2 linked regions of the Drosophila melanogaster genome follow. The protein of the gene in region 1 purifies or fractionates together with the protein of each later gene. This does not show direct contact. Each region holds a gene or a part of one and is shown on either strand. Other genes may lie near its edges. The genes, in order: ND-18 and ND-49.

The links.
Region 2: the proteins of ND-18 (region 1) and ND-49 purify together in Drosophila melanogaster (affinity purification with mass spectrometry, with the first as the bait; one large-scale study listed by BioGRID). This does not show direct contact.

Annotation. Positions count from the first base shown.
Region 1 is NC_004354.4:19,490,733-19,494,098, forward strand, and holds ND-18 (NADH dehydrogenase (ubiquinone) 18 kDa subunit), read left to right. Parts: upstream 1-1,688; 5' UTR 1,689-1,804; coding exon 1,805-1,854; intron 1,855-1,944; coding exon 1,945-2,265; intron 2,266-2,324; coding exon 2,325-2,505; 3' UTR 2,506-2,605; downstream 2,606-3,366. Other genes in the region: pcm (pacman), read right to left, coding at 1-947, 1,007-1,081; CG12204 (uncharacterized protein), read right to left, coding at 2,676-3,366. UniProt on the Drosophila melanogaster protein: Accessory subunit of the mitochondrial membrane respiratory chain NADH dehydrogenase (Complex I), that is believed not to be involved in catalysis. Complex I functions in the transfer of electrons from NADH to the respiratory chain.
Region 2 is NC_004353.4:567,762-573,425, reverse strand, and holds ND-49 (NADH dehydrogenase (ubiquinone) 49 kDa subunit), read left to right. Parts: upstream 1-1,871; 5' UTR 1,872-1,891; intron 1,892-2,635; exon of another isoform or gene 2,636-2,644; 5' UTR 2,645-2,730; coding exon 2,731-2,822; intron 2,823-2,892; coding exon 2,893-3,017; intron 3,018-3,082; coding exon 3,083-3,192; intron 3,193-3,249; coding exon 3,250-3,451; intron 3,452-4,124; coding exon 4,125-4,312; intron 4,313-4,369; coding exon 4,370-5,059; 3' UTR 5,060-5,130; downstream 5,131-5,664.

The sequences.
Region 1 (3,366 bases):
TCGGTGAGGGCCGATATGAAAATCTGCAAGCGGCGCAGGTTGAGCTTGCCGTTCTCGTTGATGTTGCCGCCGAGGGTCGGGTAAATGCCGATGTAGGTGCGGTAGAGCAGCGGCAGTGCATTTGATGAAATGTGCAGGCACGGCAGGTGGGGAATGAAGTCGTTGCCGACCAAAAAGCCCATCAGCACCCAGTCGTCGATAAGCTGCGCAATGTCCAATTTGTGCTCGTCTGTTCTCAGGGCGTCGAACTCCAGCTCGAGGTACTCGCGCAGCAGACCCAGGTGCAGCAGGAAGAAGCGCGTCTCCTCCACCGAGGTGCGCTTGACGTTGCGCCCGAACTTGACCTCCTCGCGCAGCACCACGAAGTGCAGCTCGTGGGTGCAGAGGCCCAGAATGATCAGATCGGCGTCCAGGCCGTAAAGGCAGTGTCGTGTATTGGGATCATAGTCCGGCTGCGTCTTCATGTACCGAATGTAGTCCATGATCTTGTGCTCGCCCTCGCCGGGCGCCTCCTGGCCACTTAGGATTACGGTGCAACGCTGCCACAGCGGATCCGTCGAAATCTTCGTTTTGAGAAAGGCGCGCAGTCCCTCCTGCAGACGCACCATGAATTCGGTGCCCGGCGTAATGCAGTTGCTGTCGAAGCGCTCGTGCTCTCGCAACTCGCCTCGCTGGGCCGCCTTGGCCTCCTGCTGCTCCGCCTCGCGCGCCGTCCGGAATCGCCGGCTGCGCTGCTGGTTCATCTTGGCCCGTGGAGCCACCCCGTCAACTGAAAGGAAGAAGAGGCGCTGCGGCTTGATCAGGTAGAACAGCTTGTCTACGTAGTTGAAGATTTCCTGGAATATCTGCTCCTCCTCCAGGTGAAAGTGTATGTTGTTGTCGTCCGGATGCGAGCAGTTGTGGACAATGCCGTTCATGTCCAAGTACAGATTGTCGAACTCGGGTATCTGCAAAGGAACCGTACGGTGCATGGCAACATATAACGTGACCTAGCAGCTTTACTTACGCAGTGCTCCCGCGCCAATTCGCTGAGGCACGGATATCGCTCGCTGATGTAGCGAAAGAACTTGGGAACGCCCATGTCGCTGTTCTGGATGGGACTGTTCTGCCGCCGTGCTGTTCTGCCTGGATCAGTGGCAATTTAGATGAACTGAAAAATTTGTGTCTTTATCTGTTTTCAACATGTATTGATTGACACAAAAGTTGCAAGTAGGCGAGGCGTTGCCACAACGTTTCGCTATTGCCATGTGGTAGGGCCGGCGGCATTCCGCAGTTCGATGAATAACTGAAAGAATAAGGACCCTGACCGATTCAAATCGATATTAGAATCGATAAGCGAAACGGGCTCCTTTGCCAATAATCAGCTAATGGTGAAATTAAGCTAAAAGGAGCTAAGAACACCTACATATCTGGCAGCACTGGGCAAATGCAATGCTCATCATTTAAACAGTTGGCTTACAAATAGCATAGTTTTAGTTCTAGTTACTTCTCTAGTTCATCATCAGTGTATTTCATTTCATTCATTTTCATTTTAAAGTTCATTTTACCACTTGAACAGCATTTCATAGTTTTTGCGAAGTTCGAAGTGAAAAAGAAGAAAACTGTTTTTGAACTATTGTGGCATCGCATCCAAGGCGAGGGGCCACACTGTTTCCAATTAGAATAAAAACACTCACCGCTCGCCTGGTCACACTGGCACTGGCGAACAGCTGTTTTCCCAATCGAAAAGCGCTTGTGTTCCAAATTTTACGTAATTCGTATTTTGAAGCCGATTTCTGCCGTGTAGCCCCAAACGCCTAGCGAAATGTCGGCCCTCCGCCAAGTGATGTGCAGAAGCACCGCCTCCCTGCAGCTGTAGGTACCCCCGCCTGGCCGGAGCAAGTGCATCCGACCTGGCAAATCTGCAGCCCTCTAATTATCCACTTTCGCATCTTGACACCGCAGGTACCAGGCCAACAGGGCAGCCGCTGCCCGCTGGGCATCCACCGCCACGGACGGCGGTCCGCTGGACCCCAAGACGGCCCTGGCCCGCCCCGAAGAGCTGGAGCAGCGCAACAAGCTGAGTGGCAAGATCACCGTGCCGACTGCCGTCAATCTCAGCCCGATCAGCGGCGTTCCGGAGGAGCACATTCGGGAGCGCCGTGTGCGCATCCATATTCCGCCCAAGAACGCAATGCAGAGCGGCACCGATAACGTGAACACCTGGCAAATCGAGTTCGACAACCGCGAGCGCTGGGAGAATCCGCTCATGGGCTGGGCCTCCAGGTGAGTAGCTGGCACGTCCACCATGCCATGGCAACCTTGGTCAACGTCTCGTGTTCCAGCGGCGACCCATTGTCCAACATGAACGTGCAGTTCGGATCCCCAGAGGAGGCCATCACGTTCTGCGAACGGAACGGATGGCGCTGGTACGTCGACGGCGCCGCGAAGCCCAAGAAGGAGCGCGTCAAGAACTACGGCATCAACTTTGCCTGGAACAAGCGCACGCGCGTCTCCACCAAGTAGACGCTCCCCGCAGCTAGCCAGGATTATAGACCACAATTATCTGATTTTTTTTTTGCTTTGTTCATTATCTGAGTACCCAAATAAACAGTCGGCTGGACTCAAATGACCACAGCACCATGTAATGGCCACCAGTTTCGCTGCCAATGGAAGCGGCACCATCACATGCCGCTCTAATGACGAGCGGTTTGGGAGCGATGCCTATTGTGCTGCTTCTCGCGTGGCTCTCGCTCCTCCCGACGCCTATCGCCATGTCGATGCCTGCTCGGACTGCGGCTTCTCTTCCGGCTGTCATCATGATGCTGGTACCAATCTCTGCGCTCGTTGCGCCAGTCCCGATGCTCTTGTCGCTGTCCTCGGTCCTTGTGCTCCTTAAAACGATCCATTTGGTCGTTATGCCGCCCTCTGTCCTCCTGGTACCGCTGCCTGTGCTGCGTTTGCTCGTTGTGCCGCCATTGGTGCTCCTGAAACCGCTCCGCTGGCTTATCGCGTCGTCCCTTGTGATCCTGTTGCCGCTCCGTTTGCGTCCTTTGCTGGGATTGCTCAACATACCGTCCGCGGTGCTCCTGTCGGTCGACTTGCTTATGATGCCGCCCGCCGTGCTCCTGTTCCCACTGCTTCTCCAGCGCCTGCATCTGCAGGCTGACTAGCTGGTGCAGCTCCTCGTTGAGCGTGGGCTTGCTCTTGCGGTGGCGCCGATGATTCTTTTGCTGACGCCGGGTTTCGCCCACCACCTCGGCGAAGGCGGTGTTGTCCTGGAACTGCGGGTGCTTCTTGGTGTGCTTTAGAACGTGCTCGTAGATGAGCAGCCGCTGACTCGCGTCGAGTCCTGCCTGCAGATCATCAAAGGAGGCAGCAGGAAGG
Region 2 (5,664 bases), on another chromosome or scaffold:
TTAAAAGATTTCTTATAAATGAGTAAATTATATGTAGTGCGTTATAAAGTCAGGTGCAATTTAATTTTTGATGACAATAGTTAAATAATACAACTTTTGTGCATATATATCACTATATAAATATATATGCATATATAGGAACAATCCGAAAAAATTAAATTGAAAAGGCCGTTAAATTATTGTTTCTTTTTCATCTGTGATTTAGGTCTAGTATTCTTTTTAACGTAGACTTAGTTTTCACCTCTTCAAGATTAAATTTTGATACTGAAAATGAAATTGATATAATACCTAGGGTTCTTAGAAAATTTAACCCGACTTTTTTAGAGCGGAATTATACTTTTCAATTTATCTCGTCAAAAAGTTTACTAGGCAGTTAAAAAAGAAACAATACTTTAACGGCATTCTTTTTCGACCCGTATATGTATATGAACTACAAAATAAAAGGATTTCAACCTTCAATTCGAAGGTCGTTTGGCAAACGGAAAGAAAGACAAAAAATATATCGACATGGCTGTGTAAACTGATCAAGAATATGTGTTCTTCTATTGACATTTCCTCCTTTACTTCGTTGACAATCCTGACTGAAATTAGTTTACCCATTGCAAAATCTAACTACATATTATATCTACTCATTCTAAGCTTTGAGATCATTACGCGTTAACATTTTAATGTAACAGTAGCATATTATGCGTATTTATATTTTTATGTAAAGTTTATACAAGTTGATCTTTAAAACAAACAGCCTAAGACTGAGGGATCCTGTTTGCGCCGCGTTCGGCGGCAGTCGGCGAAATAAGCAGCTGTTAATGCTGATCAACAATATTTATATGTTGACTACCGCCACCTGACAGATTACGAGATTTTTAAAAGTACTTCGCTTTAACTTTGGAAACCGCCTAATTGATTTGATTCGACCCTGATTGATCAAAAATACTTATTTAACAGGCCGGCAAACCAATTATCAATTTAAGTGGGATACTACATTTTAATACATGTATGGTACATTTTCTATACAAACAGGGTTGGTAATGGCTTGGCGAAATATTAATATATTTTTTAACATTCATAGTCATAAACAATCAACATGGCATAAGATCAACAATATATAGCGGATCTGCAGTTCTTGACATTCAATTTATAACGGAACAATCAATATATTTCTTAAAAATTGTATGTTTAAGTGATAAAACATCCCAACAGCATTATACAATTACATATGTATGTATACACCAAAAGACATTTCTGTATACATACACAGTGACGACACACTCTCCGAGGAGACAGAAGAAACTCTATATATACACAAACATCTTACTCTCGGGGAAACATTCTTATTCGATACGATTAACAATCCGGTACAAATATGTTGGTATAACATAGTTGACATATAAAAACACAAAATATACATATATGCCCATAACACCGTCTTCCTTTTTTGGTACATCTTTTTCAAAATTACATTTTCACATGATTAAAAATTGTTCCAAACAGGTTTTTGTCTGAAGAGAAATACTCGAAAACAGCTCATTTAAATTAGTTTTTTCTACACTTGGACTACATACAAGAATTATTTATATAAATACTGTAGAGCTAGAGCTATAAAAAAAACTTGTTTAGAGCTGGAACAAAAAACGATGTTTACTTTAACTTTCGATGTATAAAGAAACTTAAGGGCATCGATAATTTTACAAATCAATCGATAGCGATTTTTTTCCAAAGGCCCGTATAATCTTATAATATAAGTCAAATGGTTTGGTTTTTTTTTTTTTTTTTGAATTTAACATATGCGAATTTCTACTATAAGTAATATTCACAGTAAAAACCATACCATATTGATAGGAAACTGTCTTATAAAGATTTTATTTGACATTTGTTGTAGCAGAACCATTATGTAAGTTCCTAGTAAATTTTTTAGCTAGGCTTAAGCACTATTTTATGTTTTAAGAATAATTTTATAATTATTAAAATTTATCTATTACCCGTGTCGAACCTATTTTGATTGGTGTAAGAAGTTTGAAACCCAGTGAAAGAGTTAAGAATTTGAAGTAAATATATATATGGTCAGTATCAAGAGCCGAGTCAGCACTACCGTCTGTCCGATCATCCGTTTTTACGTTACTATCTCTTAGCACCGGTTCTTGACTGCATAAAATTTTTGTTCAAGTTAAAAGAGTTTTCATAATTTTGTTTTCTTAAGTTTAGTCATCGGACGAAAAGTCCAGAAATCAATTGTTAATTAAAGAATTTAAATAGTTTCGTTGTTTTTAGTCATTAAATGTCCACATTCGCTCTGCTGAGATACTGCTAAGATATATAAGTTTAGCCTTGCAGAAGCTATCATTATTATCTCTAGTAATTATATTTTTATAGTGCTCCATTAACGCAAAATTCGCTTCATTGGGATGATGTAAAATTCAGGTCTTCGAAAAATTAATTGCAATTATTGTTTATAACATTATATAAAGATAAATAAAAACTTGGGTAAACGAGCAGGATGACAAAGTGTGTAATATATATAAGGGAATTTATGTGTTTTGCACTTCATTTTCATGAAGCAACAACCTGCGATATATTATTGGTGTAAATAGTATATAAGCTGTACGAGATTCGGTGTTTAAAGTAATTTTCGATATTTTTTGGATAGAATTCCGATTGCGGATAACTATTTGGTTGTATTAGATTCCTGAATTGTTACTAAAGAAACATAAATAGAGGAATTTGACTATCAGGATGGCCAATATAATGAGAAGAACGTTGATTCCTGGACTTTCACACTTGAGGCTGCGGCCACAACTTGTTGCAGCTGGATCGGCCGCGTTAACGTAAATAGTAAATGCTTACATAATTCGAATATATCATTTATATTTGTCCAATTGGAAACTCGTTGTTTAGTTCTCAGGAGACGCGACGGGGAGCAGCCAAGTGGTATCCAGACCCTGAGTTCATGAAGCAGTTTAGCGGCCCGGTGATGTATCCAGACGAGGTCACATCACTTTGGACAGTGCCACCATGGAACAGTTAGTTGGTAACCCAATATTAAACTGACCCTTGAACTAATCGCTTGACTTACCTCCTCTACTAGGCAAAGTAACGCCTGTCGAAAAGTCGGTGCGTAATCTGACCTTGAACTTCGGCCCACAACATCCCGCCGCCCACGGAGTCCTTCGTCTTGTGCTGGAGCTGGATGGAGAGGTTTAAGCTGTTAATCGACCACAGGTCTTGTGTAAATTAAAACCTCTGTTATTGCAGACCGTTATGCGTGCCGATCCGCATATTGGGCTGCTGCACCGTGGGACCGAAAAGCTCATAGAGTACAAGACATACACCCAGGCATTGCCGTATTTTGACCGGCTGGACTACGTCTCGATGATGTGCAACGAGCAATGCTACTCTCTGGCTGTAGAAAAACTCCTTAATATTGATGTGCCTCTCCGTGCTAAGTACATTCGAAGTAAGAATACAAAGTAATTTTCTCTTGCTCTTGACTTTGTAGTCATTAAGAAGATTTCAATAGTTTCGCTTTTTTAATATATGTATATATATATTATAATTTAGCATTGTCACCATCGCCATAAATCTTACGCAACAAAATCTTTTTAAAAGTTCTATTTAATTTTTGATTACCAAAAAAAAAATATTTTAAATTTGGGTTTGATTATTAAAATTATTTTAATCTAAAATTTAAAGTGAGATGAAAAAGTACCCACTATTTTTGGCACTGAAAATTGTTTTTCTTGTACAAAAATATATTAAAACCAATGGTTCGTGTAGTTCTTGTCTCTCAAACCAAAGACACTAGAATAATTCTAGTGTCCTTGCTCAAACCATGTAACATACATATTTCGAAGCTTGAAAAATGAGCCAAGATATCAGGGTAATATAAAAGATAATTAGAAGAGACTATAAATTATATTCTTTTCTGGGAAAACTGACTTGCAGCGCTCATTGGTAGGACGGTATGAATTTACGGTCTTATCGAATTAATGATCGTCGGACCGCTTGAAGAATTTTAGCCAGCCAAATATAAATTGATCGAAAAAAATAACTTTTTGTCACCACTTCTTCACCATTCACTAAAATTGTAAATTTGTAATAATTATGTGAAATTGTTATTTTTTGCGCAGCTCTCTTTGCCGAGATTACTCGTATTCTCAATCACATTATGGCCGTCGGAACACATGCCTTAGATGTTGGTGCTCTAACGCCATTTTTTTGGCTATTCGAGGAGCGAGAGAAAATGATGGAATTCTATGAGCGAGTTTCTGGTGCCCGAATGCATGCTGCCTACATACGTCCTGGCGGGGTGTCATTGGTAATGCATTCGCATGAATATTGAAAAATAATTTAATTGTCTTACGTTGTATGTCAGGATATGCCTCTTGGTCTTATGGACGATATCTATGAGTTTGCATCAAAGTTTGCTGAGCGGTTGGACGAAGTGGAGGATGTGTTAACTACAAATCGAATCTGGGTGCAGCGGACCGAGGACATTGGGATCGTAACTGCAGAAGAAGCTTTGAACTATGGCTTCAGTGGAGTTATGTTGCGTGGATCTGGCATAAAATGGGATCTTCGAAAGCAGCAGCCGTACGATGCCTATAATTTGGTAAACTTTGATGTTCCCATCGGCACCAAAGGGGACTGCTACGACCGATATCTTTGCCGGGTCGAGGAAATGCGCCAGTCATTACGAATTATTGATCAATGCCTAAACCAAATGCCTGCTGGAGAAATTAAAACGGATGATGCCAAGGTGGCGCCTCCGTCACGGTCCGAAATGAAGACATCCATGGAGGCACTTATTCACCACTTCAAGTTATTTACCCAAGGATATCAAGTTCCACCCGGGGCAACATACACGGCAATAGAGGCTCCGAAGGGCGAGTTTGGAGTTTACCTTATATCAGATGGGTCCAGTCGTCCATACCGGTGCAAAATCAAAGCTCCAGGGTTTGCTCACTTGGCAGCTTTAGAGAAGATTGGAAAGCAGCACATGCTAGCCGACGTCGTTGCAATAATTGGAACTTTGGATGTCGTATTTGGGGAGATAGACCGTTAGTTGTTTTTAGAGAATGTGTGTCTTCTCTGTACGAAACTGCTTAAATATATAAATATAAATACGTTCAAAATAAAATAAATTATTTGCATTTTAATTACTTGTAAAGTTGGTAAGAGGTTAAACGAAGTTTTTCCTCTGTTATCGTTATCTCTGGAACTAAAAACATTAAAATTAAGACTAAGCATGCATAATCTACTAACGCCAATGCCAGTGCTAAGAACTTCACAAACCCACGCACATTTTTAAAAAAATGTTTGATGAAAATGAGTTATCTCCAATCCCAATATACCTAAAAATTAAATGATGAATATATGGTATTAGAAATTTTAAAATTGGGGCTGATAGGTATGTTAGAGAATAACATCACCCACAAAAATTATTAAAAATACACGTAGACTCGCCTTATTCGTTTCGACACTCTGTTTAAAAGACTGGAAAATGTTCGGATCTGATTCTACCACTATTGAAAAAACCTGCTAGCCTACCGAGAAAGTTGTAGCTACTTTTCTTTATTATAATATACATATATATTTTTCTACACCTATTACTTTAGGAACAGAATACCATATCATAATATATACATGTATCATTGACTCGTGCTCAAA